Linked DNA regions of Arabidopsis thaliana. The protein of the gene in region 1 purifies or fractionates together with the protein of each later gene. This does not show direct contact. Each region holds a gene or a part of one and is shown on either strand. Other genes may lie near its edges.

Region 1 (9,666 bases):
AGATGGCTTGAAAGTAAAAGAGATTGAAGGAGACCCTCTTGTGAATGCTGATGCCTTGAAATCACTAATCAGGCTATTACGACTAGCACAGGTTAGAGTAATTCTGTTTTTACGCTACCCCCTTCTAGCAACTAAACAAATCAATGATTTTTGTTCTTATCTATTGACTTTTCTAATTGAAGTATCATAAGTACTTTCTTATACTTCTGTTGGTTCTAACAATGATGTTATTTTAATGTACCAGCCGTTGGGAAAAGGCCTTCTGCAGAGGCTTCTTTTAAATCTATGTGCTCACAGTTTTACAAGAGCAAATCTGGTTCAACTTTTACTGGATATGATTAGGCCAGAGATGGAAACATTACCGAGCGAGTTGGCTTTAACTAATCCGCAAAGACTCTATGGCTGTCAATTAAATGTTGTTTATGGTCGATCCCAGCTGTTGAATGGTAGTAATAACTACCGAAAGTCTTTGTTTGCTATTCTCGCAAGCGTCCAGAGCACTGACTGACTTTCTTTGCTCTTAACACAGGTCTTCCTCCTTTAGTGTTCCGTCGGGTGCTTGAGGTTTTGACGTACTTGGCTACAAATCATTCGGCTGTTGCTGACATGTTGTTTTATTTTGATTCGTCACTTCTATCCCAGTTGTCAAGCCGAAAAGGTAAAGAGAAAGTTACTCATGAGACAGATTCCCGGGATCTGGAGATACCTCTGGTTGTCTTCCTTAAACTGCTTAATCGGCCTCAGCTTTTGCAGAGTACATCTCATCTAGCGCTGGTATGTTTAGCTTGATTTTCAGAATAATAGAAATTTTCTCACGGCAACGTCCTGAATGTTGCTTTGGTTGTTATCTTATCTGTATTGTTTTAGGTCATGGGCTTGCTGCAAGTAGTTGTCTACACAGCAGCGTCCCGAATTGAGGGTTGGTCTCCGTCATCAGGAGTGCCTGAGAAACTAGAAAACAAACCTGTCGGTGAAGAAGCTTCAAGTGAAACACAAAAAGATGCTGAATCTGAGCTATCTGTTGCAAGAAGAAAGAATTGTGCTGAATTATATAACATATTCTTGCAGTTACCACAGTCGGACCTCTGCAATCTTTGCATGCTTCTTGGATATGAAGGGTGAGGGACACCTTTCTTTCTTTCTTTCTTTCTTTGCGTTCCTAAGACTTTCTTTTTATATGTAGTAGTCTACACAACATAGATCTTTTCTTTTCCTTGGTCTCAATTATTTCCTTGAATTGCTTAAGACGAACTCACATGTTTTATTACCGTAATAGGTTATCGGATAAAATTTACTCGTTAGCGGGAGAGGTACTGAAAAAGTTGGCTGCCGTAGATGTTACTCATCGCAAGTTTTTTACAAAAGAACTCTCAGAGTTGGCGAGTGGTTTGAGTTCCTCAACTGTCCGTGTGCTGGCAACACTAAGCACTACACAGAAGATGAGTCAGAATACATGTTCCATGGCAGGTGCTTCAATTCTCCGTGTTCTGCAAGTGCTTAGCTCCCTAACTTCCACTATTGATGATAGCAATGTGGGAACCGACAAAGAAACAGATCAGGAGGAACAAAACATTATGCAGGGACTAAAGGTGGCATTAGAGCCCTTGTGGCAGGAACTTGGCCAGTGTATCAGCATGACTGAGTTGCAGCTCGATCATACTGCAGCTACATCAAATGTCAATCCTGGAGATCATGTTCTAGGGATCTCTCCTACGTCATCTCTCTCTCCAGGAACTCAGAGTCTCCTGCCTCTTATTGAGGCTTTCTTTGTTCTCTGTGAGAAGATTCAAACTCCGTCAATGTTACAGCAGGATGCAACTGTGACAGCGGGAGAAGTAAAGGAGTCGTCTACTCATGGTTCTTCATCGAAAACCATTGTAGATTCTCAGAAGAAAATTGATGGTTCTGTTACATTTTCAAAGTTTGTGGAGAAGCACAGGCGGCTTTTAAATTCATTTGTTAGGCAAAATCCAAGTTTGCTGGAGAAGTCTTTTTCAATGATGCTCAAGGCACCAAGGCTGATTGATTTTGACAACAAGAAAGCGTACTTCAGGTCAAGAATAAGGCACCAACATGATCAACATATTTCTGGGCCATTACGTATTAGTGTCCGCCGAGCTTATGTGTTGGAAGATTCATACAACCAGTTACGTATGCGCTCCCCACAGGATCTGAAGGGACGTCTGAATGTGCAGTTTCAAGGTGAGGAAGGTATTGATGCTGGTGGCCTGACCCGAGAATGGTATCAGTTATTGTCAAGAGTTATATTTGACAAAGGAGCGTTGCTCTTCACTACCGTTGGAAATGATGCCACCTTCCAACCGAATCCCAATTCTGTTTACCAAACTGAGCATCTATCATACTTCAAATTTGTTGGTCGCATGGTAATATATCAGGACCTTGTCAATGCAATGATCTGATTGATCGTTTTTTGCTCTCTCTGATGTGTTTGTGATGTCACTGCAGGTGGCAAAGGCGTTGTTTGATGGGCAGCTTTTGGATGTCTATTTCACCCGTTCTTTCTATAAACACATACTTGGTGTGAAGGTGACTTATCATGACATTGAGGCGGTGGATCCTGATTACTACAAGAATTTGAAGTGGCTATTAGAGGTTTGAGGACCTAGCCTTTATTTACCTTTATCTATTACATAGCTCAAAAATAGAAGTCAGGTCCTGTGCTGTTTGAGCCTTATATATTTGTCCCCTTTTCTGTTTATTCAGAATGATGTGAGCGACATACTCGACCTCACATTTAGTATGGACGCAGATGAGGAAAAACACATTCTTTACGAGAAGACTGAGGTGTGTGGTGATTGATGTTCTTTCTTTTGTTGTGCTTTATCCCAAATTGCCTAGTATATTGAATTGATCATTTTATCTTTGATGAAAAGGTGACGGACTATGAACTTAAACCTGGAGGACGAAACATACGGGTAACAGAAGAAACAAAACATGAATATGTTGACCTTGTGGCCGACCACATACTTACCAGTGCTATACGCCCTCAAATCAACGCTTTCCTAGAAGGCTTAAATGAGTTGATACCTCGTGAGCTTGTATCAATTTTCAATGATAAAGAGCTTGAGCTCCTAATCAGCGGGTTGCCTGAGATTGATTGTAAGTTGGCATTCTATTTTTCAATATTTTTGCATCTATTTGCTTATTCATTTAAAGTTATAATAACAATCTTGTTATCTGTTTTCTTTTGTTTTTTAGTTGATGATCTAAAAGCAAATACCGAGTATACCAGCTACACGGTAGGGTCCCCTGTTATTCGTTGGTTCTGGGAGGTTGTCAAAGCTTTCAGCAAAGAAGATATGGCTAGATTTCTTCAATTTGTCACTGGAACATCAAAGGTAAAACCAATATTTGCAGCTTCTGTCCAAGTCGCTTGAGCTTCATTTTCTGATATGTACTAGTTTTTCTTCTGGTTGTTTTACAAGCGGTGTTTCTGTTTTCAGGTTCCCTTGGAAGGCTTCAAGGCACTGCAAGGTATTTCTGGCCCTCAAAGATTACAAATCCACAAAGCATATGGATCTCCGGAGCGGCTGCCATCAGCTCATACATGGTTAGACATTATTACAAAGTCTTTTTTTTTTCAGTTAAACGTGGTCGTAATTTTCATTGGTTCTGTTGCAGTTTTAACCAACTAGACCTCCCTGAGTATCAATCTAAGGAACAAGTTCAGGAACGCCTGCTTCTTGCAATTCACGAAGCCAATGAAGGTTTTGGGTTTGCTTGAACAAAGCTTAAGAAGAAGGAAGAGCTTTTGATTAAGAGCAAGAAATAGAAAACGCAAGTGGCTATTTTTGTCTGTCCATATATTATGTTAGTATATTAGTCCATTGTTTTTTTTTTAGGCTTTCTCTCTATTTCCTTAGATTTTGTTAAAAATAGTTGCAAACTCTCAAATATTAGTAGTTGATATTTGCTATCCATTTTTATAAGATGAGAAAATTACATAACTGCTGGTCATTATTTTGAATACTTCCTTTCTGTCACGCGTATTGGCATATTCCTCAACCAACATACGAAGGCCAGTTTGTTATCACAAGTTTGCAAGCCCATTGTCTTAATATCTCAACTGTCTCCAGAAGCAAGTCTCATAACATCTAGAAGAGGTTGTTGAGCATACCAAGTGTGTTCCGAGGAGGATAAACATGGGAGACTCCACTCCAAACTCCATTACCTTCACCACCTGCCTATTCAGCAAATGAAGAATCAGAGTGTGTGCATGGCATCTCTCCGAAAATCCCACACAGGGTCTTGATCTTTGTCCTCCACGTTCATCATCATTTTCATCCATTATTGCTTACTCGCCTTGTCCTTGACGTTCCACATTTGTCTCCAGCCAACAAGTATTGCTGGTATAAGCTTTGATAGTTTGTAAAATAAACATTAGCTAACATAAATACTCTTTTGCCTCTTATCAAAAAAAAAAAATGATGCTTCACAAGTTAACACACCTTCAAATTTTCTTAAAAAACATCTATATGCAATAACAGAATTCAAATTATAATGCAATAATGATAAGAAAACATTTCTCCTCCATCAACCAAAACGTGAATTAACATCTATCGAAAATAGGTGCTTCACAAGTTGACACACTTGACACACAAAATCTACAAGTGTGAGAGCGCTTGTTCATAACGAGTTTAAAGAATCGCAAAACACACTCATATTAATAATAATCAATCAACTTTTGGAAATATTCAATACTCTTTTGTTGATACATGTAGTCTTCTAAGATAAAATAAAAACGTATACACTAAACAGTTTTTTTTTTTTTTTTTTGGGGTCAATAACAGAATCTAAAAATTAAAGTTAAAATTTAAACGATAAAAGTATTTAATTGGGACGTTTATCAAAATGAAACAATGCATTGGATCGGCTTTAAAAAGCAACCAAAAAAAAAAGAGCTGTCATGATTGATATTCATCATCACAAAATAATGAAAATTGCCTTATTCACGTAATAACAAAAAGAAAATGATTTTATAACAGTCGAATCGTACGGCAGATATTTGTTGGCCCCTCCTCTTATATGATATCATAGTCAACAAGAGAACAAAGCCACAGAGAGAGAGAGACACTAAAACCCTAATCTCTTACTCACTGTCTCTCTTCTTCAATCCATGTCTTCAACACAAGAAGCGTCTGTTACTGATTTGCCCGTGAAGAGACCTAGAGAAGCAGAGGAGGACAATAACGGCGGCGCCATGGAAACAGAGAACGGTGGAGGAGAGATAAAGGAGCCTTCTTGTATGTCCTCTATTATTCCTGGATGGTTCTCTGAGATTAGTCCTATGTGGCCAGGTATAGATTCCTCTGTTTTCCCCAATTGAGGTCCGTCTAATTCCTCATGTTAATTCTCTGTGAAGCTGATTTTGAATATCTCTATCTGAGTTTGTAGGAGAAGCACATTCTCTCAAGGTAGAGAAGATTCTATTCCAAGGGAAATCAGATTACCAGGATGTTATTGTTTTCCAGGTAATAAGGACAGTTTCTTGGTTAGTCTGTCTCTCTAAGTTTGGTTCACTTTTATATAAAGTTGTCAACTTTGGTGTATTTTGTTAGTCTGCAACATATGGAAAGGTTTTGGTTTTGGATGGAGTGATTCAACTCACTGAGAGAGATGAATGTGCGTATCAAGAAATGATCACTCATCTTCCTTTGTGCTCTATCTCCAACCCCAAAAAGGTAAATCCTTTATCAACAATCTTAATCTCTAGATAATCAAAGTCTCTTGCTTTCAAATGGAAAACTGCAAGAAAGAAGGTGAATTGTCTATCAGTTATGACCATATAACTTGTTTGAGCTAGAAATACATCAAAAGGATGATCCTTTAAGGGAGTTTTAGTTTTGAGTTTGTGTTTGAGAAAGGTCTATAATTGAAGTGTTTTGAGTCTTTTCCCTCTTGCTATTGGATGGTATAACTGTAAAGTAACCAAGTGGGTTTCTTATGGAAATGTTTCTTCTTCAGGTACTGGTGATTGGAGGAGGAGATGGAGGAGTCCTGAGGGAAGTGGCACGTCATAGTTCTGTTGAGCAGATTGACATTTGTGAAATAGATAAAATGGTGGTTGATGTGAGTACTTGTCAGATTTCTTTCATTTATTATTATGCATCTTGCAAGTGCATTGTGATGAACCTTTACTTAAGTTTAATATGTTTTCTTCCACCTTATGGGATCTTTCTTCAGGTGGCTAAGCAGTATTTCCCTAATGTAGCAGTTGGATACGAGGATCCTCGTGTCAACCTCATCATTGGCGATGGTACACAATGCTCTCTGCTTTCATCTCTCTCTTTTGAGATCAGTTTTTATAAACAATGTTGTGGCCATTTTTTTGTAGGTGTTGCTTTCTTGAAGAACGCTGCTGAAGGAACCTATGATGCAGTTATTGTTGATTCATCTGATCCAATCGGTCCAGCAAAAGAGCTATTTGAGAAACCTTTCTTTGAGTCAGTGAATAGAGCTCTTCGTCCTGGTGGAGTTGTGTGCACACAAGCTGAAAGCTTGTGGCTTCACATGGATATCATTGAAGACATTGTTTCTAATTGCCGTGACATCTTTAAAGGATCTGTTAACTACGCTTGGACCAGTGTTCCAACTTACCCGAGGTCTTTGAAATTGATCTTGAAAACATTTATGCTTTTTTTGTTTGCATTGATCTCAAACGTCTGAGTTTGTATGTGATTCATTTGCAGTGGAGTCATTGGATTCATGCTTTGTTCATCTGAAGGACCACAAGTCGATTTCAAGAAGCCAGTGAGTCTAATCGATACTGATGAAAGCTCTATCAAATCACACTGTCCCTTGAAGTATTACAACGCTGAGGTACATAAAAAGTAGTTAGTGTAACAATCATTTTCGAAATGTGTGAATCATTGTTAAGAATTGTGATTGAATCTTTTTGTGTTGCAGATTCACTCAGCTGCTTTCTGCTTGCCCTCTTTTGCTAAGAAGGTGATTGATTCGAAAGCCAACTAGAAAAGAGAAGAGAAATCATTTGCTTTAGAGAAACTTCATGTGGAAGTGATAATATGATGATACAATGATCCTTTGGAAAAAAATAAAGAAGTTTTAATTTTTAGAATGTAATGTTCTTTCACCTGCAATGTTATGTGACTGCACTGAGCTATCAATCTCTTTTTATAAGCATTACACATATTTCATATCCTTTTTTTAACGTTATGCATCTATAATTGACTAACTTTCGATTTAATGTGATCACATAATATGATTTAAAACCCAAAAATTTGTAGACTAATTTTTTATCATTTTGACATGTTTCCTCTAAATTATAAAAATAAGGGCAAATAAAACAAATATTTTAATAGGTGTGATTTGGACCAAAAATAGAAAAAATGGAGAGGCAAAACTGTTTTATGGGCCTTAATAAAAATTAAATGTTTTGGGCTTACATCATCAGCCGTCCAAAACAGTTGGTTTGTCCAACAGAACTTGTATACGTGTTCACTGGTATTGTCGACGTTGACGTTATAATTATAACAAGAGGTTGACCATCGTTATTCACGTGTGTATGGGTTCACATCTATCATGACATCACAATATTACAAACATTACCTAATTTATGACTTTTAAATCTAATGATAATTTTACTTGATCGTCATCAATTATGTTTAATTTTCTGTCGCTCTCAATTCCTAATAATACCACTTAATAGGTCCTTCTTGAAGTAGTTGGATTGCCACTTGCAACTTTAACCAGCATATAACCTTGTACATGTTCCTTTTTTTTAGTTAAAGACCTTGTACATGTTCTTAAGACGAAGAAAAAACTAACTATAGTATATGATTTGTTAGGTTACATTTATATTATATGTAGAAAAGAAAGTAGCAAAAGATACCGATGAGTAGTGCTTATGTACAGTAGATGGTTGATTCATGCCCATTTAATTTTAAAATAGTTAAACCAATTTTATGATTTAAATTGTATATATTTTAAACTAAACTGAAATATTTATGCTATAGTATCAAAGACTTTGAACTATTACGTATAACGTATGTGTTGATTTTATAGCATATTATATGTTGAGAAGATAGTTTATCATATATATTTTATAATATTTGAAACAATTGGTTAATAGATTTTTTTTATTTTTTTTTAAAACAAAATAAAAAATAAAACCAATTTTACCTTTCAAATAAAATGGAGAAGATGTCTTGTTGACATGATGCTAATGACTAATGAGTATTGATCCGAAATATTGTTCTTGGATGTAATTACATCATAAGATTTGTCGGCTTCGAGGATTGCAATATTATATTATTTGAAGCATTATTATTAGATGTGTGATCATTTTTGTGGCTTTAAATGCTTCCCACGTCTTCTAAAATGAAAATTCAAAGGAATGTTGATAAAATGTTTTAGCCTTTTAGGGTCTAATGACTCGTGCTAGCATTAAGTATTCAAAAAAAAACAAAAAAAAAGGAAATAATTCTGGTTATCGCAGAATAGTAACTAGTAAAACGTATAAAAATTAATAAAGACAAAACTAAGTTGAAAAAGATAGAGTTCCACAACAAACAATGACGCCATCGGTAGCTAAGTAAAGTCAATATCTAACTAATTAAATAGCAAAATAGTAGTAGATGTTAACGTAATCACATTCGTAATATTCTGTAATGACGCAAACTCGGGGATGCAGCGACAAAAGAACCATTACCTAACAAAAGTAGGAAACTCTCTTGTAATTTGAACAATCTTCCAATAGTTTGTCCATTATATTTGTTTTTTTTTTGTACTATTTTATTCAAGAATCGAACATATTTCTAATTTTTCTACATGGACCAGGTCTCAACATTATGAATCACATCCGATATTACGAAAAACTCTATTAAAATGATTACTAACTCTATTTTTAACTATTTTTCAACCATATAGATTATTTACAAATTCATACATATGGACCGTTTTGGTGTCTTCAGATACGACCTATGAGGAGATAAGAAAGAATCGAATCATTGACAATTATTGTTTGTGATTCTGCAGAAACTGAAGAGCACTTCACGTTCTTTGCACACGTGTATGTCCAATATCGCACGCCATATTAACCGCGGTTCCAGTTGCATCAGAATGTGTCCAGAGATGAACCACGTGGAAACCGGTTTGTGGAAAACCGGAATCGTCATAAACGCTTATCGGTTTCTGTCATGATCGTAATAATCATGCACGCGTGGATCAATCATCTCTCTTAGTAAGTTTTGATGATATTTTGTAGACGTTTTTCTTTACTTTTGATGAAACTCTCTAGAAAACTTTAAATTATCCACGAATATGTGGAGCTCTATGTAGACGCATAATTGTGCCGCATATAAATGCCGTCAGCTTAATTTTGGCAGTTTTCGTTACACGAAAATGGAACAAATGTAAATGATCAAATAAGAGAGGACCCATAACATCATATATGTGTCGGCCTTTCGATCACCCTCTCCACATAAAACCTCAAATGGCCATATTTTTTTCATTTATATATTTCTTAAATGGAGTAATACCCATTACCCAAAAAAGTGGTCACCAAGAGGAATTATTCTGTTATAGATTCCACCATCGAAGCTAAAAGCAAATAGATATATTATTGATAAAATAAAATAAGGATGGCTGCTAGAAATAGAAACGCATGGGTGTTTTGGATAATCC
Region 2 (10,786 bases), 750 kb from region 1:
AAAGATAGCTTCCGAAGAATCCCAAGGACTGGCTCCAGCCCTATACAGAACAAGTAAAGACAAACCACACCACTCAATTTTCTTTCAATCTTTATGTATTCCAAAGGGTATGATTGACACCAAGAGTGTGTATTTTTGTACCAGGATTGATCCCCTAACAGATGTAAGAGGAAGTAGGAAACAACATATCACAGCAAGAAAACCATAGATTTCATATATTTTTCGCTTGGATCTGTTTTTTTTTTTGGGTAGTATAGCGTCTTTGCACTTATTTCTGGATGCTGTAAGCTTTGCTACTGTTAACAGTTCCTAGAGTGTGCTTAGACCTCTATAAGTTCTTTTGTAGTGTTATATGAAAAGACTTTTTATTAGCATTCTTGTAAATGTGTCACAGAGATGAGGAAAAAAGAACTGTGTCACAGAGATGAGGAAAATACAGCTTGACTAGATATGACAAGAGTAAGGAGTCTAACCTTCAAATTCTCATTTTATTTGAATGCCGATTCTTTCCAGTCATCTCACCAGAAAGGAAAGGTCTTTTGCTGCCAGCTAGTTTTGGTTTATCTGTTGCTTCACTAGTTTTATTCTTCTTCTGTTTCGATCTTTTTTCACCTGCAAAAGGTTCATCCTTATCCTTTGCATGTTTTTCTCGGTGACGCTTAAACCCGGAAGTAGGATGATGGTCAATCTCTTTCCTTGTATTCTTTACTTCTATTTCCTGAGCTGCATCCTCAGATGCGTCAGAGACAAAGGTGTTCTTTGGAAAATTTGATTTGTTGGACCCAAATGCAGAGCAAAATTCGTTATATGTTGATTGCTTAGCTTCTTGTCTTGATTTCCACTGATCAGGTCTGCTGGCATAACTGCAACAAATAAATGATTCCATATCATATCAAATCATGAATAAGGAGGTAAAAGATGCAAGAGAATACATGCATGCCATCAATGCTACAGTTATGCCACCTTTCAGTGGCACTATGGTCACTTAATCTCCTAGACTTTTTCTCTAAGAAATTTTACTCTTTTTTTCCATCTCACAGGACGAATATGTTAGTGATACCAGTCTTTCTGATGTGTTACAGCTTCCGTCAAACAAAGCAAGGTAAGTTTGTGAATAAGATCTTACCCATCGATATCAAGTTTCCTAAGCAGATAAGGCCCTTGCTTTGTTTTCGAGAGATCAACTTTCACATCCAACAGTTCAGATGCTATGGCTTCCCTTAGTGTCAAATTACATGCATCGAAGCACTTCTCAACTGTAAATGAACCAGACGTGTGTAATGAGAGCTCGCCAAAATGTCCACGTAATCTGTGACGAAATCATTGGTGAAAAGAAACATCATCAAAATATGAAGAATTGCTTGAAAAAAAAAACTGACAAGCAGCCTAAGAGACTGAATGAAGAAAAAACAGAATGAAGGAAATCATATAAACAAGCTACTGTGGAATCTATCGGTCTTGAGATAAACATATCCCCATATAAAATCAAGAAGCAGTGCATACTTTATAATTAGTCTACGTTTCTGTTTTGTAGCAGCATCTGAGGCAAGAAAGGCCTCGATGACACGTGCTCCACTGGAATCTTTTGCCGTTTCAGTGATATACTCAGCTTTCATAGAAGTTAAGCTTGTTATGTATGGCTGTATATGATCCTGTGAAATTGAGAAAAAGTTGGGAGTTACTGTGAATGCACATGAAAAGCCAAAAATTTGGAAGTTAAAAGCACTGAAGCTATTTTTGTCAACACAAGAAGAGAAGGAAACATACACTAGAAAACTTAAAAATCCCCTGAAGTATCAAACAACCCATGACATGCATCTTTGCACCAGGTGCCCACTCCCATGTAGACTTATCTCGACAACCAAAGTAGTAATCAAGAAACAGCAACCGTGGAAGAATGGAGATACGGGATTCATTTGTGGAGCATACTGCACCAACAAGGGCCTCACAACACTGTCAAATCAGTAAAAATCAGCTGTATAAGAACACAATTTTGAAACTAGAAAAGAAATAAATTTTCATCTAAATTTAGAAAACATAGAAACCTTATTTTCATGACTTTGAAGCCTTTGGCTAACTGCTATCAGAGAAGCCACAACACCTGACTTCCCTTGCTCAAGAAGATCCTTGAATCTTGGAGCTAATTCTTCCCACATAATACCCATCTTGTAAACAAAATCAATTGAACGTAAGTTTACTGGCTTCACGGAAATAGCACAAATAAATTCGAAGTTAAGAAGACCTGGAATGAAATTTTGATGTCACAGAAAAAGATGAAGTGTATGATAAAGATACCTGCTCTTGGTCTCTTGCATGGGAGATTAATGCTTGAATAACAAAATTTGCACACCGATCAACTGAAAGCTCAAATAAAGAATTCTTGAAAACTTTGTTGAACATTTCGTTATACAAACTTTCAGGGGCCACTTCCAAAATAACCTGAAAATGGCATGCAAACGCATTTAAAGAGATGACTAAGAAAATTAACACTCCAATTACAGCATGGAATCAAACAGAGAACTAGCAATCCTTATAGATAATATTTTGCATGGTCTAAAGCAGGCAATACGTCCATCATCAATTGTTTTATGCAAGGTACAGAATCTTGGTATAAACAACTCAGTCAGAGCAGCCAGAGGTTAGACTCAGTTACCTCCACCAGATGACTGAATGAATTATCCTTCATCGACTCTAAAATTTCTTTGGCAACATTAGTCTCTATATGAAACCCTTCTACTTTTTTATTAGTAGAGTTGCAGCGCAGAATAAGCGGAATGATTTCAAGCAACTGCTCATCTTGTTTCAGCATTAGTCTGAGAGCCGTCTGTCAAGAGAAGATTAGTTAGAATCACCGTGAATCAGGGAGAGAGACTAAATAACAGTCAATACTAAAGAAATTGCTTGAAAATGACATAAACGATTAGACAGGGACATAAAACCTACCTGTAAGACCAAACTGCTATACTGATCGACTTGAAGATACTTCATGTCCTCTCTGCTACAACTTAATAGCCCAGATAAAAGGTACGTGAGCATACCTGGAAACCCTTGATGAGGGATTTCTAAATTATTGTCATCTAGCTGAGACATCTTCAGATTCAAACGTTTGGCCAGAGCTTTTGATGATTTTGCGCCATAAAGCTCAGGGGAATCTAAAGAGACTCCTTTGCAAAGACAAAGAAGCCTTCGTAGTACATGCGAACCATAGCAGTTGCACATCATATCAAGAGGATTATCCACAATCACCTGACCAGGGGAAATATTTCACCATCAAAATTGAGGTCAATTACTAGACTAGAAGCAATAATCTGGATACCTTAATATGATTGTCAAAGCCAGTAAAAATTGTATAAAGTACCTTGCATATAGAATGCAAAGCCTCCTCAATAACAGAATAGGCGTCTGGATTTTCTAGATGTGTGGCCAAGGATTTGAGAGCAGACTCTGCGACATGAGAACCAGATCTATCCATTGCAATGGCTGGGAACACACTAGCAGAATTTCGTATGAAACTGCAGAGTTGGTCAAGTTCACATCCCTCAAGTAGAGTTTGCAAGACATGACTTATGATATAGTCTGTAGCAATTTCATACTCCCTCCCTCTTGTTTCTTCAAGGGCATTTCCACATATTACTGAACGTTCCTCTAATTCAACTTCATTACTATCAAAGAGATTGGCAATCTCAGAGAAATACTTTGAAGTCTCTGGATCAATCTCTTTCCTGAAAAAGATACACCCAAATCACTACCACTTCTCACAACAACAAAATTTCGACTATAAATTAGAGCAAAGGCCCTTGGTTAAAAATCTCCTTTACCTGACAAATTGATTCTGATGTTCGAATTCGGAGTGTTTCTTTGATGCTGGCTTTACATTGGGGGCACCACCGGATTGGTTCTTCTTGCTGCTATCTACATCAAATCCACGGTTACCCTTATGGTCCTTCCTACGCATTCCCTTATTCCTTTCACTGTGATTGTTACTAGACTTTCCTCGTTCACCCATCAAGCTATCTTCCTCAATGGTCCTGTGCCTCCTAGATGGCAATGATTTAGAACCAACAGAAACCATGAAAATTCCTAGCCCCAACTATGTTAAACCCTACAAAATTTACACACAAAAAAACTCAGCTTCGAAGAACTATTAGTCCCAAATTACACAATATAACAAAAAAGGGAAAGGTTCAATTTTTTCTCCAAATTTACAGACCCCAAAAATTAGGGTTTCTACCTCTACTTCAAAACGATACCATAACTGGGTTGAATAACCTAAAACATAACAATAAATTCCGAGTCCCAATTCTAAGACTTTACACTAATCCATGTGAAGCTTGTACAAAAGAACAGAAACAATAAGGTGTATCACAAACCTTTGAGGATGCAAAAACACAGTTGACGTTAGAGGAGAAACGAACAAGCGTGAGCTCAGACTAAGAACGCGGCGCAGAGACAAAACGACGTCGTCTCCGAAACTCTTGGTATACGTTGGATCAAAATCTTCGATGTTTTGACGTTGTACAAATTTTCTAATTCCTAGGGTTTTATTCTCGTCCAACCTAATACGATATCGTTTTGTTGACGTGGATATAAACAAATAATGGGCTTTAAATCACGATTTTACCGACCTTTTTAGGGCCCAATTATGTAGCCCAAAAAAAACCTCATCGTTAGCAATGTGCTGCTACATGTTGTTGTGATTTATTTAAATTTAGAGATTTCTAAAAATTTATAACTTTCAAATTAGCTGTAGGTTTTATAAGTATCTATTTATCCCCAAATTAGATTACGACTGTGATTGGATTATTCAATTTTGGTCCTTTTGGATAATTAAGTCAACGGAAGATAGACTTCAGACATCTTTTTTTGATAAAAGACATGTCTTTTTTTGGGATTAGTCGTGTGTTTAACAGATAAATCAACAAAATTAGCCGCCTAAAAAAAACCCCTACAAATATCTTCATCAATTAGATTTTCGAAAAGAAAAAACGAAAAAGCAATTTCTGAGCGTGGAGGACAAGGCAAAATTCGGTGTGCAAGGCACTGGATATTGGGACCCTTGTTTCCTCGTGAGAGAATTTTCAATCCTAGGGCTTAAAGAGCACGTTCCTAGTATAAAGCTGATTCACAGATGCGGAGATTCTTGATTAACCAAGCTAAAGGTCTCGTCGACCATTCTCGTCGTCAACATCACCACAAAAGTCCAAGCTTTCTCTCTCCTCAACCTCGTCCCCTTGCTTCTTCTCCTCCTGCTCTGTCTCGTTTCTTCTCTTCTACTTCGGAGATGTCTGCTTCTGATTCCACTTCTTCTCTTCCCGTTACTCTTGACTCCATCAATCCCAAGGTCGGTTTCTAATTCTCTAGCTGGTTTATTGCGTTTTTGAATTGTGGGTTTCAGGGTTGATCTGGATTTGTTTCTAATTTAGTAAAAAAGTTTCAATTTTTTACTGTGGTTGTCTGATTTAACGCCAAAGGTTTATCCTTTGCTTCTCGTTGTGATTCCCAACGATGAAATCGACAAGCTTTGCATAACTTCTTTGTACTTTATATTACAGAGAAGTTGGTTTTATTGTTAACTAAGAGTTTTTTTTCTTTTCCGGGGAACAGGTTCTGAAATGTGAGTATGCTGTTCGAGGAGAAATTGTCAACATTGCTCAGGTCAGAGATGCATGTGCTTTGTCTTGTAAAACCAAGAACAAAATCTGTAAAATTGTTTTTAATGCTAATTGATTTTTGTTTGCTTTTTGCTTCCATCTTACAGAAGTTACAAGAAGACTTGAAGACTAATAAGGATGCTTATCCCTTTGATGAGGTAAAATCTCTTTCTTTATCGGCAGTTTTGACGGATTTATGATTAGTTTAGTGTTGATGTTACCTGTTCTCAAACTCTTTGTGCAAGGAACTTAGAATTCTTCATTACTTTTGGCAGATAATCTATTGCAACATTGGGAATCCTCAATCTCTTGGTCAGCTGCCTATAAAGTTCTTCCGTGAGGTAAGTGAATGTTTTTGGTACTAGTTTGGTTGTCATATCAGCCACAGAGATATAACGTCTATCATCTATATGCCTCAGGTTCTCGCATTGTGTGACCACGCAAGTCTTTTGGATGAGTCTGAAACCCATGGTTTGTTCAGGTGAGGTTTTCCTTGCTATATTTCAGCTTTAGGACATGTATGCTCACGGTTTAAGATTGCTTAACATTTGATTTCTACTCTGCTATCAGTACCGATTCAATTGACCGAGCATGGAGGATTTTGGACCATATTCCCGGAAGAGCAACTGGGGCTTACAGTCATAGCCAGGTTTGTTATTAGAGTCTAGTTAAAAGTCCTAAACCCTTTCTTGAGATGGTTCTTATGTTGCTGAATGTTTCATTTTTTGTTCTGCCTCAGGGTATCAAGGGTTTACGTGATGTAATTGCAGCTGGAATCGAAGCACGTGATGGTTTCCCTGCTGATCCAAATGATATTTTCTTGACTGATGGTGCAAGTCCAGCGGTAACAATCAAAACGAAAACGTTATCTCATAGAGTTAGAGTAAGTTCTTTTAAAGGATTCATGCTAAGTGTTTTTGGTGTTTTTTACTCTATAGGTTCACATGATGATGCAACTTCTCTTGAGCTCAGAGAAAGATGGTATTCTTTCCCCGATTCCTCAGTATCCATTGTACTCGGCTTCAATTGCCCTTCATGGTGGATCTTTGGTATGTTCATATAATCATCATGGAGTAATGTTGTTTTTTGGTACAAGTTTTTGAAATTTGTACTTCTTAGGTTCCGTACTATCTTGATGAAGCAACAGGATGGGGACTGGAAATATCTGACCTTAAGAAGCAACTAGAGGAAGCTAGGTCCAAGGGCATCTCTGTAAGGGCCTTGGTTGTCATAAACCCCGGTAACCCAACTGGGCAGGTACAAACAGATTTTCAAGACTAGCCTAACAAAATGTAACATTCTTCTAATCTTGCGTTCTTATTCTGGTTAGGTTCTTGCGGAAGAAAACCAGCGTGACATTGTTAATTTCTGCAAGCAAGAGGGTTTGGTTCTTTTAGCTGATGAAGTCTACCAAGAAAATGTTTACGTCCCTGACAAAAAGTTCCATTCTTTCAAGAAAGTGGCTCGGTCTTTGGGCTATGGAGAAAAAGATATCTCGTTAGTCTCGTTCCAATCAGTCTCCAAAGGTAAAAGAACAACTTTTACTGTCCAATGCTTGTCATCTAAAAAATGGGGTTTTTGTTTTTAATATTCTTCTGTTGATAGGATATTATGGAGAATGTGGAAAAAGAGGAGGTTACATGGAGGTTACTGGATTCACTTCTGATGTAAGAGAACAGATATACAAAATGGCTTCTGTGAATCTTTGTTCTAACATCTCTGGTCAAATTCTTGCTAGCCTTGTCATGAGCCCACCCAAGGTAACACCCTAGTTCTCTCTAATCGGTTTTCGCTAAGTTCTTGCAACAGATTATGACTAAAAAGTCTAATATTGTATTTGATCAGCCTGGTGATGACTCATATGACTCATACATGGCAGAAAGAGATGGAATTCTCTCATCCATGGCTAAACGTGCAAAGGTTAGTCGAAGATTACAATACCCTCTAACGACATTTTTCAGTCTCTTTGTATATAATGTCACAAGCTTGAAAATGAACTTGCAGACTTTGGAAGACGCTCTCAACAGTTTAGAAGGTGTTACATGTAACAGAGCCGAAGGAGCAATGTATCTCTTCCCGCGAATTAACCTTCCTCAAAAGGCTATCGAAGCTGCTGAGGCTGAAAAAACTGCACCAGATGCGTTCTACTGCAAACGCCTTCTCAATGCTACTGGTGTAGTTGTAGTCCCTGGTTCTGGCTTTGGACAGGTAAAATATAACCAAATCTTCATAACTTTAAATGTCTTACAAAAGGATCGAACTTGAATAATGGGTTTTGGATTCATTGTGGTTTAGGTTCCTGGAACATGGCACTTTAGATGCACAATACTTCCACAAGAAGACAAGATTCCAGCGATAGTGAATCGTCTGACAGAGTTCCACAAGAGCTTCATGGACGAGTTCCGCAACTAAAAGGACCTGACCATGAAGATGAACTTAAAGACCCTTTTGAAGAAAAGTGTGATCAGTTTGAGTTATTAAAAAAAAGAAAACTTGTGTTTTGAATTTGATCAGGCAATTGTGATCAGCTAATTTAATTTTAGAATATTTTGTACTTCCATTCCATGGCATGTCATATGAAGATATGAAAATTAGTAAATTTATTGGGCTTATAAATGGGCCTTATATTATTAATGGGCCTTATATTTATTTTTCATATGATATTTCTGGAGAAAGCGACAGTATATTATCTTCAATTTTTCCATTTTGAAGAATTTTCTCAAGAAAAAAAAAAATCAATGTGGAGAAGATCACCGTCGTTTATTCTCGACGAGCGACGAAGCTCGAATTCACCTCCAATGGCGGATACAACACGAGGTCCTTTTCAAAACCCTGATTCCATCTCCGCTTATTACCAAACTCGCGCGGCGCATCACGGTGTCATTACAAGCGACTGGCTAGCCCAAGCTCAAGCCGCCGTTGGCGGCGTCTCAGGCGATGCCCAGCATGACTTATCCGTAACTGATCTCGGGAACGAGAAGTCGTTTAATGTAATTGAAGAGTTCAATAACTGGAGAAAACAACCGGATCTGGCTGAAGCCGTCGCGGCTATACGAGCTTTGGCTGCTGTTATTCGTGCGAGCGAAGCGAGCACCATGATGGAGCTTGAAATTGAGCTCAAAAAGGCTTCTGATACACTCAAGGTGAGAATTCATTTTTCACTTTCTGTTCATTCTTCGATTTTGTGGGCTTTGTTGATTTAAGAAATGTTCAAATTTTGGCAGTCGTGGGACAAAACGTCGATCTCTTTGACAGCTGGATGCGATTTGTTTATCAGATACGTTACGAGAACGTCTGCTTTGGAATATGAAGATTTCAATTCAGCTAAGTCTCGTCTTCTTGAACGTGCTGAGAAATTTGGGGAAATATCTTGCAAGGTACTTCCTTTTATGGCTTCTGGCTCATATTTAGTAGTTTTTGTACATATATCAATGAAGTAGATCAATTAGTATTTGATAGAAGAGGGTTTATAAAGGTTTGGTTATTGCGCAGGCTCGTAGGATTATCGCAATGCTTAGTCAAGATTTTATATTCGATGGTTGTACCATATTGGTTCATGGACTCTCTAGAGTTGTTCTGGAAATACTTAAGACTGCTGCACAAAACAACAAGCTCTTTCGAGTTCTCTGCACAGGTTCGCTTAAACAACAAGCTTAGATTGGAACTTGAGTTGTATCCGCTTAATGTTTCTTGGTTTCTCTGAGACATTTTTGTTGCATAGTCTTGACCTTATAAACCCTGTCTCTTTATGATTTTGTTGTATTAGTAGCCTCTCGCTAACTTTTTTTGGTGAAAAAATGATAGAGGGGAGGCCGGATGGAACAGGAGTTCTGTTATCGAGTGAGCTATCGAAGCTCGATATCCCAGTGAAACTACTGCTTGATTCAGCTGTGGCGTATAGTATGGACGAGGTAGACATGGTGTTTGTCGGGGCGGATGGAGTTGTAGAAAGTGGCGGTATTATCAACATGATGGGAACATACCAAATCGCACTTGTGGCACACAGCATGAACAAACCGGTCTATGTTGCTGCTGAGAGTTACAAGGTAATTGAAACGGTTTTATAAGATCCCATAGTAAGAGAGTGGTTAATGATACAAAGTTGTGTATTTGCAGTTCGCTAGGCTTTACCCATTAGACCAAAAGGACATGGCACCGGCGTTGAGACCAATCGAATTTGGTGTAAAGATTCCGACAAAGGTGGAAGTAGAGAGGTCAGCTCGAGACTATACTCCGCCTCAGTACCTAACACTCCTCTTCACTGACCTTGGTGTTCTCTCTCCCTCTGTAGTTAGCGATGAGCTTATTCAACTCTATCTCTAATTTCAACTCCTAATTAATAACTAACTATTTATACTACTTTTGCTTCAGAAGTGAAAACTTCCAATTTTGAGCCTTTTAAGATCTTCAAAGTTCATGTTTTTATCTTAAATATTGAGGTAGTTTTTCTGCTTCGTCTTCCGATTTAGATCAGTTTCCGCCAGTTGGCCCAGTTCTCCGGTAACCAGTTTCCGATCCTGGTATCAACACCGTTAACTTTAAACAATCTTATCTATTGAAGTAGCCATTTATTACTCTTTTGCCTAGAGACTATAAACATGTACAACATACCTAATCCTCAGTCCTCGTGGTTCCAATTTTTGTGACATGATTTGATTTCGAATTGTGTGTGGAATATAGTTCTAATAAGAACCTCTAAAGGATCAACATCACCATGACCAGATTCCGATCCTCAAGCCCTCATTATTACGACCATTGACAATTCGTAGACAAGCTAACCTCCTCAAGTGTAGCCAATGGTTGGGGAAAATATTACATCATTTTTATATAAAAAGAAACTGTTGGAGAAAATATCCTAACAGTTTCAAGAAAATAAACAAGAAAGACAAAAACACAAGCTCATAAAATAAAACCAGTATTATTAATAAGCTAACTCCACAGTTAAGAAAAGGGAAATATGAATTTCAATTTCGGAATACAATTTTTTTTTTTCAATCTTAAACTTGAAAGCATTAGTTAATTTAGGTAAACGAATTAAAAAAATAGTTTAGATCAACCTATAATCTATATGTAATAACACCAAACTGTAATAATAAATTAAAGAAAAAACACCTCACTGTCTACCGTTTTGAGGC
Region 3 (11,456 bases), on another chromosome or scaffold:
TCTTATGTTTTCTAAATTTGGCCAATGTAAATAATTCGTGGTTTGTACAAATTTAGTCAAAGACAACGTCCAGTATCGTCTTACTTTGTTTAGAAAATGGATGTCGTGACTCGTGATCATAACTCATAAGTGTTGAGCAAAATTAGACAAGTAAATGCCCTAGGGATTACTTTAAAAAATAACTATTTATTAGTTTTTAGATTTAAATAGTACGAAAAACTTATTTTAGTCATAAAATACAAATTTTGTTAGATTTGATATTTCCTTTAATCGCAGTGCTGCTAATTGCATGTAAGAGAAGATTATAAATTGGATTTTGGCCGAGCTAAAAGACAGCATGACAATGTTTAAGGTAGATGTCATGGACGCAAATACAGAATGGAATATCCACATAATATTAATAAAATAGCACAATACACATTGTAGAAAACGAAAAGAAGATAGAAGAACTACTACTCTTGGTATAGTACACTCAAGATTACATTAACTGATCCCCAAATCCCTGAAACCAATTCACATCTACCGACTTCTGTCCTAAAAGAGAAACCCCACAAACCCTTATCCCCTTCCATCCTTTGCTGTTGCGTAGCTTCGACTTTCCCTCACATCTGTTGCTGCTACATCCCAGCTCCCACTTCTTCTTCCCCAGCTTTCATGTCTTGCTTCTGTCCTTATCGAGCCTGCTCTCTCATGGTCTATGTCCAATGTGTGATGAGGCTGATTGTTGTTGGCATCTTCTGCATTACAACGCCGTGAGAGATTCATTAGATCGTCTCCAATGTCTAGATCGTCTTCCACTTTCTGTCGCCGGGTCACATTTTCGTCTTCTGCTTCCCCTGATTCCCTGGTGGTGCTAGGCAGAGTAATAACTCTTGGGGGTTCTTCTTCGATGAAGGCTCTAAAGTTGTTCCTCGAGGGCTTCACCTTTGAGCAAAAAACTTCCAGGAAATTGTTTGGACAGCCACGGTTATAGACAATGCTCCTGCTGTGTGATGACCTGTACCGGAGTTTCTCATAGGTTGTCTGAAAAACTTGCACGGTGTTGCTATCAGTTGACTTACAATTTGCATACAATATTAATATGTATATACGGGAAGGTAATAACAGGGATAACAAGTAGAAAACAGAATTTTAAAACAATAGAGACCAACTGACCTGGTTTGTACTTATGAGGTACAAGTGAAACGCTGTGAGCCCTCCAACAAACCACAGGGCAATAAAGCAATATATCATCAACACAACAGCCCAAGGTGATTCTTTCATTGCCCTCCACACAGTTGCTTGTTGATGATCCATCAGAATCTTGATGTATACCGCCGACATCGAGAAAATATAGATGCAGAGAAGTGTTGACGAAGAAACAAACATAAAGAAATACCTATAGTTTCTCTGCCAATGGACAGAACTTTCCCAGTCAGAATCACAGGACAAAATGGCAGACAACAGATTGGCCAATCGGCAGATAAAACAGATCTTGGCCTTTCAGATAACAGAAACAGAAACCTCACACTTTTTTGGGAGATAAAAATTTACGAACTTTATATTTTTCAAAGTCAATATGCTTTTGATTGAGCTTACCAGTCCAATGCATTGTCCCACCCATGGGCAATGATGATCAAAGCGCTCAACACAGTTGTTGCATATGGAGCAATGAGAGCAGCGAGGAGGCCTGTAAAGCATGCATGTATCACAGTATTTCACTCTAACAGAAACGCCATTAACAATGACTTCTTTCGTCCTGGGAATTTGAACACTCGGTGTTTGTCTTCCATCAGCTGATACAGTTGTCTCATAACGTAGGTCTTCCTCTGGTGGATGCGAATTTCGAGGAACAATACCAGGATCTCGTGCAGATGTGAAGAAGAGGAGGATCAATACCTATCAAACCCAAATTCGTGATTCAGAAAAGCAAAAAATAACAACGCCTGAATGCCACACAACAAGTGACAGAACAGGAGGACAGGGTTTAAGCTTCTAAGCCGGGTAAGAAACAAACAATGAAATAGCTGATAAATGTTGTTGATTACCCGATTAGGCAGTAAGCAAACAGGAAACAAACATAAAATCAGAAATCAAATATTTACAACAATGAGATATATAGGACTATCAGATTGGGTATCGGAGAAGACTTACATAAATAGTGAAAAGAATTGCTACCACCATGATAGCATATCCCGCATTGTAGGGAGAGAACTCATGGCGAAGGTGCCTTGCTACAAATACACAGAACAAAACAACCGGAACTATGATCAATAGCAAGGTAAGAGGCAGTGACCTAGCATCTGGTCCAAATATCAATCTCCCACCCAGGATGAATTTCTGCAAAAGAGAGAGGGACCATTTATTGGTATCACCATACTGAATTTAAAACATGTGAAGAGTCAAGCATTGAAGATACTTCCAATTGTTAATAAATTACAAGGAACATTCAACTTGATACAAGGTTATGCAAAAATGCATGGTCATGCTTTGAGAGTGAATCAAGAGATACTTCAACGATTCAGCTCAACAACATTAGTTTACACGTACCAAAGTAAACCAATTGCGTAACTAAGATTATGCTACACAGGTGAAACTCGAGAAAAAACGAATTCCAAATCATATTCATACCAGAGAACAGAATTCAGAGAATATTCATCTCCCAACAAAGAGAAAACACACAAAAAACCAATAAAATTCCAGGCTCAATCATTCGATGAAAAAAGGACTTACATTGCTTCCTTTCCAGACTTGGAATACCCGTTGTGTCATGGAGAGAAGAAGATTAAAGCGACAGAATCAGAAAGTCCTAAGCTAACCAGCGACGGAATTCGAAGGATAGCTGTGTAATTCTCGCCGTGTTCTCCCTCCGGCGAAGAAGAGGGTTTTTATCCCGACGAAGAAATCGACGGAAACCTAATAGTACCAGAAATCGCGAGCAAAACCCTAAGGATTACACAATTATAAGGCTCGCGTGCGACTTCTGGTCTGACCTCCTTCAATGGGCGACGAAGACGAACGAGCGAATAACCTGAGTTTTTTTTTTATTTTTATTTTTTTATGTTTAAACGTTTTTGTCTGCCTTTCTCTTGTTTTAAATTATGACGTAATCATGTTTATCTCCTAAACCACAAATTACAATTAGTGTCCTCAATTTTTCTGCGCATTTTGTGTCAGATTTCATTCCTCGTGCAAACTATACAATTTCAGTTGGTGATTTTTTTGTTTTTGGGATACATTATTTTTTTGTAGGAAAACAACCAAATACCATTTATTTGAGTCATTGTCCATTTTGTCTTTCAATTGACTATCAATTACAATTGATTATGATCGCAAATCAACTGGTTTTGACTAATTCTATTGAATTGTTTGAACCTGTTCCTTCTCAATGAGCCAAGAATTTGACATGTTTGAATAGACACTTAATAAAACTTTGAAAGTTTGTAATTTAAAAATAAATTGTAGAGATGAGGAAAATTCCATTTAATGTTAAAATTTTACAAACGAATTCTCGATTATTTAAAGATGATGACATGTATACCTTGCAAACATAAATCCCTTTATTATTAAAAGGGAAGTACAAATTGAATTTTTTTCTAATTTGGCCTCAATTTTGATTTCAATTTTGGATTTTATTCTTTGCTATTCAAAATTATTAAGGCTAATTTGGTCTTAACAATCTCCTAAACTTTATATGATCCGATTCAATCTAAACCGTTTAATAAAATTAATTTCTTTCAATCTAAACCGTTCAACAAAAATAAGGAATCTATGTCGTTTTTGAAATCAAAATATAATCACATTTCATCTCTAAAAACAGTATATTCAATCACGAAATCAATAATCAATAATATCCAAACCATTTATTACGATTCTTCACTAATCACTAGAAATTTATATTTATAAGTTTAAGATATCAAATTTATTCAAATATTTAGTATAAGAACCAAATAAATTGATTGCCCGCGGTAAACCGCGAGTTAAAACCTAGTTTATATGTAAATGGGTGGAAACAATAAACAAAAAGCAGCTGAATTGTTTTTAATTTTAGCGTAATTATTTACTTATTTTTCTAGGTTTTGCACGTAAAATGAAAGGAATATAATCTCTATTTTTCATCATGATTAGTAGAAACTTTAACAGGATCCGACGTAATTACATTTTTATCTTTTTGTTTGCGTTAACTAAGTTATCCAGTCAAACCCTTAAAATGTCTCGGCGACATAAAAATATTCGAAAAGCTACCATCGTATCATTTCTATAGATCTCCCTAATCTATATGATATATCACATTTCTTTCAAAATTCTTTTTTTTTTTTTTTTTAACAATTTATTGAGATCTATCATGTAGATTAGGGAGAACTATAGAAATGTCAATAAGCACAAAAGTTATCTTTATCATCAAAAGCTATGCGACAACGCTCAACAATCGACATCCACGCATCTAGCATATGTTGAACACATAAAGCAACCCGACTAAATCAGCATACTCCATGGATATTACTCTTTAGATCACCAAGAATGGTAGTCTCGTTTGTCCTTTAGATGTCGAATCTTTTTTTCGAAAGCTTGTAAACTCGAAGTTCTTTGAAGAACAACCCTACTCCCAATCAACATTTTAACATACGCATAATTTCATCCAAAACACATACAAATTGTTTAAAACCACATTACCATTCATTTTATAGCATATACGGTTGGAAGTGCTAGTTTATGTTCTTCAGCTCAAAAGAGTGGTAGTTATTCTGAATAGAAAACAAAACATCTGAAAATGGCGGGCCACGTGAAATAAAATAGAATATGATGCCAATTGAGACAATAATATATATACATAGTCGTAATAAGAGTGATAAAAGCTTTGTGAAGCCTACCTAATCTAAGCAGGGCCGCTCGCTCCCACCAAAGGACAAATCTCTCTCCCGCACTCATCTCTGTTCATTGGTTCCTCCCAAAAAATATCAATCAAATCGGAATAAACTATACGAATCCTCCAATATAAAGCTCCACCCTTTCTCTTTCTATCTCTCTCTCTCCATTGTTGACTGTCTCTCTTCCCTCGTAAACATCGCTGTCTCTAAAGATGGCCTCTCTCTCAGGCCTATACTCTTCTTCTCCATCTCTCAAACCTGCCAAAAACCATTCCTTTAAAGCATTGCCGGCGCAATCTCGAGATTCCTTCTCTTTCCCACATACCTCCAAACCCACCAATCTACCGTTGACTCTCTCCTCGGCTCGTTCTGTGGCACGCGACATTTCTCATGCGGATTCGAAGAAAGAGCTTCTTAAGGATCCGGATGCGTTGTGGAAGCGATACCTCGATTGGTTTTATCAGCAGAAAGAGCTTGGGTTGTATCTGGATATTAGTCGGGTCGGATTTACCGATGAGTTTGTGGCTGAAATGGAGCCAAGGTTTCAAGCTGCGTTTAAGGCTATGGAGGATCTTGAAAAAGGGTCTATAGCGAATCCTGATGAAGGAAGAATGGTTGGACATTACTGGCTTAGGAACTCTAAGCTCGCACCTAAGCCTACTTTAAAGACCTTGATCGAGAACACACTTGATTCTATTTGCGCTTTCTCCGACGACATAATCTCTGGAAAGGTCAGTTTTTGATCCCACCGGCCTTGTTTGGCATTATGATCGTAATGGAAAAGATAGTTTTATGCAGAGTGTCTTACTTAGATCACCTTTTGAGTGTTGTTTGGAAATTTCTGATGCTGGAAAGATAGTTGTATGCAGAGTCTTACTTAGCTCACCTTTTTGAATCTTGTTTGTTTGTTACTCCCACTCAATTTTGTTTGTATGTTGCAGATAAAGCCACCATCTTCTCCTGAGGGTCGTTTTACTCAGATACTTTCTGTTGGCATTGGAGGCTCGGCTCTTGGACCTCAATTTGTCGCTGAGGCCTTGGCTCCTGATAATCCTCCATTGAAGGTATCGCATACTGTTCTAATTGCAGTCAACATTACATTCCCTTGCTCTTAACACTCTTAGCCATCCCCACTAACAAATGGGTGTTCTTTATCTTTGCCTCGTAAAAGGATGTCCTCTCTTAGGTTTTTCTGATTAAAAGAGTCTACTTTGTTGTCTACTGTTTTCTGACTTTATGTTCTTCCTTTGGTTGTTGACAGATAAGATTCATTGACAACACCGACCCTGCTGGAATTGATCATCAGATTGCACAACTTGGGCCAGAGCTGGCCTCGACTTTAGTAGTTGTCATCTCAAAGGTGTGTCCTATATTCAGTTGTGTTTATATGATGGTTGGTCCTGATATTGGCGAGCATGATTAAGTTTCTTACGTATTTCCCAGAGTGGAGGTACTCCTGAAACTAGAAATGGACTACTGGAAGTGCAGAAAGCATTCCGTGAAGCTGGTCTGAATTTCGCAAAACAGGTGTTAATCTCAGGTTTTTGTTTCCGCTTTTTGCTGAAATCCATGTCTCTACGAACATGGGAAGAATGCTGTATGATAATGGTCAAACTGGTTTACACGGTTGGAAATAATCTGAGAAAAGTGGACTAATTTTTCATCTCATTAACAACAACAAAAAAAAAAAACTGGCTTCTCATGGATCATTAGACAGTAGACACCTTCAGATGTATTGGATATAATTTAGCTTCAACTTCTGCCCCACTGTAGTTCCTCAGCAGCAATTTCGCGCTGTATGCTTATGCAGGGTGTTGCAATAACCCAAGAGAACTCATTACTGGATAATACGGCAAGAATTGAAGGTTGGCTAGCTAGATTTCCTATGTACGACTGGGTGGGTGGAAGAACATCAATAATGTCTGCAGTTGGTCTGCTTCCAGCAGCACTACAGGTAATTTGTACATAAGCGTAAACTTTCTATGACCATTCTTTGTTATTTACACGAAAGCATTGTCATCATATAGGGGATTAATGTTAGGGAGATGCTTACTGGTGCTGCTTTAATGGATGAGGCTACTAGGACAACTTCGGTAAGTAGTACTTATTGCAGCTTGTGTTGAAGATGAGTTTACTTACCAGGTTTTAGTAGAATGTCATATCATACGGTTGGGTTTCCTGACTCATACACTTTAGATAGTCTCTACCATGACTCACTCTAGCCTGTAAATTTCTTTCTTCTTTCAGATCAAGAATAACCCTGCAGCGCTCTTAGCTATGTGTTGGTACTGGGCTTCCAATGGCGTTGGTTCCAAGGTGTTTTTCCTCAACTTTTTTGAGAGTTCTAAGGCTATCAAGGAGATTGAGTTCTTATTGACCTTATTACTCTATTCTTGCTTTCTTTTACAGGATATGGTTGTCCTTCCTTACAAGGATAGCTTATTGCTATTTAGTCGGTATCTGCAGCAGCTGGTCATGGAATCACTAGGAAAGGAGTTTGATCTTGACGGTAACACTGTAAGCATACTCTTCAATTTTCTCTGCAGTACCCCAAATCAAAGTTCATGAGCATTTACTGAGAACTGAGAAGGTGTAAATTGGTCTTGCAATTAATGCCCACTCTTATAAATCAGAAGACCTTGGTTACTTAATTACTTGTGCACATGATTGAGTTCAGTTTGTTACCACTCCTTCATGGAAGAATTGAAACTTGTGTACTGTTTCCTCGACCCTGTTATTACGAGTGTGATCCCAAGGACCGGTTCTTTGAATTTGCAGGTTAATCAAGGGTTAACTGTGTATGGAAATAAGGGAAGCACAGATCAGCACGCGTGAGTTTCATTTATTCATATAGTTTTACTATTGAGAGAGCATAGCAAATAAGGAGCTTTTTAACAGTATTTAATTTGTTTATTTCATTAGCTACATTCAACAGCTGAGAGATGGTGTGCACAATTTCTTTGCAACCTTCATAGAAGTGTTACGGGACAGACCCCCTGGTCACGATTGGGAGCTTGAGCCAGGTGTCACTTGTGGAGACTATCTCTTTGGGATGCTACAGGTCTGATTTATGAATCTCGTTTCGCACAAATTAGTCAGAGATAATATACACTCTTTAGTAACACTATATATGGTGAATTTGTCCAGGGAACTAGATCTGCTTTATATGCAAACGGTAGAGAATCCATCAGTGTTACAATCCAGGAAGTGACACCAACATCTGTTGGGGCTATTATAGCTCTTTATGAAAGAGCTGTTGGTTTATATGCCTCAATTGTGAACATAAATGCTTACCACCAACCCGGTAGAGATATTCCTCCCATATCTAGAAACCGATGTTCTGTAATTGCCTAATTGATATTTGTTTACTGAATCTGAATAAAAAACGATTTCAGGTGTGGAAGCTGGGAAAAAGGCAGCAGCAGAAGTTCTCGCCCTGCAAAAGCGGGTATTGTCAGTTCTTAATGAAGCCACGTAAGAATCAGACCGAGTCCGCTTCTTTGTCAAAAAATCTTGTCTCGACTCATGAGAGACCACTTATATACTTCTTTCTGTGGCTGCAGTTGTAAAGATCCGGTAGAGCCATTGACACTGGAAGAGATAGCTGATCGTTGTCATGCTCCTGAGGAAGTAACGTCCAAATCCTTGAAACTTGTTTTTTCATTGGTAACTTTTCGAACGCACGTATCAAGAAGTTTTTATCTTTGAATATGCAGATAGAAATGATATACAAGATCATAGCGCACATGTCTGCAAACGACAGAGTTCTGATAGCAGAAGGAAACTGTGGATCGCCACGAAGTATCAAAGTGTATTTGGGCGAGTGCAATGTGGATGACCTGTACGCATAACAAAACCCAACACTTTCTCAAACTCCAAACTCTCATTCTCTCCATTCCTTATTTCTTTCTGCCATGTCTATGATTTTGAAAAAGAAAAAGATTGCAATAAGAGCCAGGAAACACTTGTGTACTTGTTTTGAAATAAAGATAATTTCAGAATGTTACAAATGTTGATTGTAATGATAACATTGGAGATAGATTCATCAATCAAGCAGGCTCATGTGAAACAATGATCTCAACACTCTTCTGCTTGTTTTTTGGTTAGGTGTTCTTTTGTTGCATAAACAAACAAAAGCTTAAGCTAATCAGCAGGTTAGAGATGCTCAACAACTTCCTCCCATGTGGTTAGATTGTATCAACTATAGTTTCTTCAATTAAATTCACTTCTGAATTTTCTTAGAAAACCCCATTCAGATCTAACCAAGATAACTCTAAATATTTAATTTTCCATAATAACTTTTCACTTGCCACTTTTGAAATTCGAATGGAATATGTTGACAAAAGAAAATGGTAGATCCACCGTAAGAAAACAAGACATAAGTCGAGTCGATTGTCCCCACCACCACCTATTTAGTAGCCTACCATAACAACAAAAAAATTATAACGTTACAATCCCTTTTATCAATTTTCAAAACCAAGATGTTGAATCGCTTTCCCATGTCATCACTACCCGTTATGCCATAGCTCCTATCAAGCTGGTGAGCGTACTAAACGACACCGCTTTGGGGAGGTCTTACCAACTCGATTGCTTTTCCTCTCTACCCTTTCCCAAATTTGAATTCCCAATTTTTTCAAAATCAAAAGTAAATACTAACAAAAAGCAAAAATATCAAAAAAAACAAAGAAAAATCATTTTGAAGTGCACAGATATCAATCGTCTCTCTCCCTCTCTCTCTGTGAGAAAGCTTTCTGATTAAGCTTTCGTCGTCTCCTCCATTGCAAAATCTAGCTCGATCTGTGAAGGTTTCTCTGAGTTCTTCAAAAATCTCTTCTAGAGAAAGACTTCATTAGCTCAATTTTAGCAACTTCCTCCACCTCCTTTTACTCACACTGTGCTTCGATTTCAACTTCGCATTTCACAATGATCCCCAACGGAGAATTGAGATTACCTGCTCTCAAGGTCCGTGAAGACCGCGTGTCACCCTCAGCTCCTATTCCGGTCACCAGAACCCTAGTGGCTGATACTGACGTCACTTCCGATGACGATATGAGTACAAATTCCGAGGATGTCTCTCTCGATTCGTCTCCCGAGAACAGTAGAGTGTCCAGTGCCGTTGGTCGCAGCTACGGGAGAAATTCTTCTTATTATACTTACTCCGAGGTGAGCTCATCAAGAGAGACTTTGGTCGGTGCGCGCGAACAGACGGGACCTAGATTTGATGGTGATACGGAGGAAGATGAATCCACCGATTCAGCTTCTAGCACGCAATTTTCTCCGCCGCCGGCAGCTGGGAGGATTAACGACGGCGTATCTCAGGTGGAACAAACTCACTTCCCTAAGACGGACAGGCGAGCAACTGTCGAGAAGGTTTTAACCTTAACCTTTTGTGTTAAGATCAGAGATCTTAGAAACAATTTAGTGTGATGGATGATTTTAGGCGTTCGTAGAGCTAGGATGACCAATAAAATTGACAGATATGGAAAGATATGCAATCGCGTTTTGTTCTCATCTGTTTTTATTGTGGTCTGAAGATTTGGATTTTGTGATCATCTAGTCATAACAATGTCCAAATATGATCAGGAGCTTGTGCTTTAGCTGATGATCTAGGTCTCTATGTAAATCCAGAAAAGAGCTGCTTTTCTGTTTTTTGTACTTTCCCTTGTAACATGGTGGAACGACTAGGATGTCTACAGGATTTGTTTCTTTATTGATCTTATAAAAACTCCAGTTCATATTGCAGGAGTTTGATGAGACGTTTTCTTCTGAAGAAGTAAGCGATATTCCCAGTGCCCCTCCATTTTCCGGGGCAGCAGAGGAATCTGAAGAAATTAAACCAGCAACTTCAAGCGTTCAAGTTTCAGAAGTCAAAACAGGAGATTGTGTAGAAAGTAGAAAGACTGGCCACTTTACTAGGTATTCTATTTTTAGCTCTTAAATGAATTGAGTTCTCAATTTGGTAAACTAATTTCAGTTTTTGCTTCTGTTCCTATAGACCTAGTGCAGCTTCTGAGTCATCTGGGCCACCTGATCAACATCCAGCTCGGCTTCCTACTTTTCATGCAAGGTAGTTATGATCTAATTAGTTTATTCACTGCTTCAGAAACTGGATATAGACAGATAGAAAACCTCAGTTATCTTCACTTTGTTCAGTATACAAGTTGGATTCTTTTTAATCACTCTGCCAACATTTTTTATTGAACCCTGATACAGTTCTCGTGGGCCATGGCATGCTGTGGTTTCCTATGATGCATGTGTACGACTTTGTCTGCATGCGTGGTCAACCGGTTGCATGGAGGCTCCCATGTTTTTGGAAAATGAGTGTGCTCTTCTACGAGAAGCATTTGGGTGGGTTTATTATAGCCTCTTTCTTAGTTTTCATATGTATTTCTTAAATTTCTCTATATTATTGCCGTGAGTATAATTTTTTATTTCTTTATGCAACCTAAGTTGAAGGATGGTTTTTCGTCCACATGCATCCAAAAATTTACTGAATAACAGATTTGTATTTGGGTTAATACTGACTAACAGGTTGCAGCAACTCCTTTTGCAATCAGAGGAAGAGCTTCTGGCAAAGCGATCTTCACAAGCTCCGCACGAAGGAGTTGC

What was found.
Region 2: the proteins of SPDS2 (region 1) and ALAAT2 fractionate together in Arabidopsis thaliana (co-fractionation; one large-scale study listed by BioGRID). This does not show direct contact.
Region 3: the proteins of SPDS2 (region 1) and PGI1 fractionate together in Arabidopsis thaliana (co-fractionation; one large-scale study listed by BioGRID). This does not show direct contact.

What each region holds. Positions count from the first base shown.
Region 1 is NC_003070.9:26,482,824-26,492,489, reverse strand, and holds SPDS2 (spermidine synthase 2), read left to right. Parts: upstream 1-4,894; 5' UTR 4,895-5,137; coding exon 5,138-5,318; intron 5,319-5,415; coding exon 5,416-5,492; intron 5,493-5,579; coding exon 5,580-5,702; intron 5,703-5,985; coding exon 5,986-6,090; intron 6,091-6,204; coding exon 6,205-6,277; intron 6,278-6,355; coding exon 6,356-6,623; intron 6,624-6,710; coding exon 6,711-6,840; intron 6,841-6,927; coding exon 6,928-6,993; 3' UTR 6,994-7,252; downstream 7,253-9,666. Other genes in the region: UPL2 (ubiquitin-protein ligase 2), read left to right, coding at 1-91, 245-446, 530-774, 868-1,118, 1,277-2,384, 2,467-2,613, 2,725-2,805, 2,895-3,120 and 3 more.
Region 2 is NC_003070.9:27,228,509-27,239,294, forward strand, and holds ALAAT2 (alanine aminotransferase 2), read left to right. Parts: upstream 1-4,966; 5' UTR 4,967-5,128; coding exon 5,129-5,341; intron 5,342-5,604; coding exon 5,605-5,655; intron 5,656-5,758; coding exon 5,759-5,809; intron 5,810-5,926; coding exon 5,927-5,992; intron 5,993-6,070; coding exon 6,071-6,132; intron 6,133-6,221; coding exon 6,222-6,300; intron 6,301-6,390; coding exon 6,391-6,534; intron 6,535-6,589; coding exon 6,590-6,700; intron 6,701-6,770; coding exon 6,771-6,908; intron 6,909-6,981; coding exon 6,982-7,177; intron 7,178-7,256; coding exon 7,257-7,411; intron 7,412-7,496; coding exon 7,497-7,571; intron 7,572-7,655; coding exon 7,656-7,859; intron 7,860-7,946; coding exon 7,947-8,063; 3' UTR 8,064-8,281; downstream 8,282-10,786. Other genes in the region: PUM23 (pumilio 23), read right to left, coding at 476-863, 1,127-1,309, 1,504-1,652, 1,768-1,953, 2,046-2,165, 2,296-2,439, 2,654-2,824, 2,944-3,246 and 2 more; AT1G72340 (NagB/RpiA/CoA transferase-like superfamily protein), read left to right, coding at 8,309-8,794, 8,876-9,028, 9,144-9,285, 9,456-9,697, 9,768-9,974; AT1G72350 (MADS-box transcription factor family protein), read right to left, coding at 10,765-10,786.
Region 3 is NC_003075.7:12,706,214-12,717,669, reverse strand, and holds PGI1 (phosphoglucose isomerase 1), read left to right. Parts: upstream 1-4,844; 5' UTR 4,845-5,059; coding exon 5,060-5,578; intron 5,579-5,788; coding exon 5,789-5,911; intron 5,912-6,108; coding exon 6,109-6,207; intron 6,208-6,290; coding exon 6,291-6,374; intron 6,375-6,657; coding exon 6,658-6,801; intron 6,802-6,874; coding exon 6,875-6,940; intron 6,941-7,094; coding exon 7,095-7,163; intron 7,164-7,256; coding exon 7,257-7,364; intron 7,365-7,625; coding exon 7,626-7,678; intron 7,679-7,769; coding exon 7,770-7,908; intron 7,909-7,994; coding exon 7,995-8,151; intron 8,152-8,242; coding exon 8,243-8,321; intron 8,322-8,410; coding exon 8,411-8,477; intron 8,478-8,563; coding exon 8,564-8,698; 3' UTR 8,699-9,024; downstream 9,025-11,456. Other genes in the region: AT4G24630 (DHHC-type zinc finger family protein), read right to left, coding at 559-1,023, 1,156-1,389, 1,579-1,878, 2,134-2,319, 2,713-2,751; AT4G24610 (pesticidal crystal cry8Ba protein), read left to right, coding at 9,771-10,217, 10,579-10,763, 10,843-10,914, 11,061-11,195, 11,379-11,456. UniProt on the Arabidopsis thaliana protein: Promotes the synthesis of starch in leaves.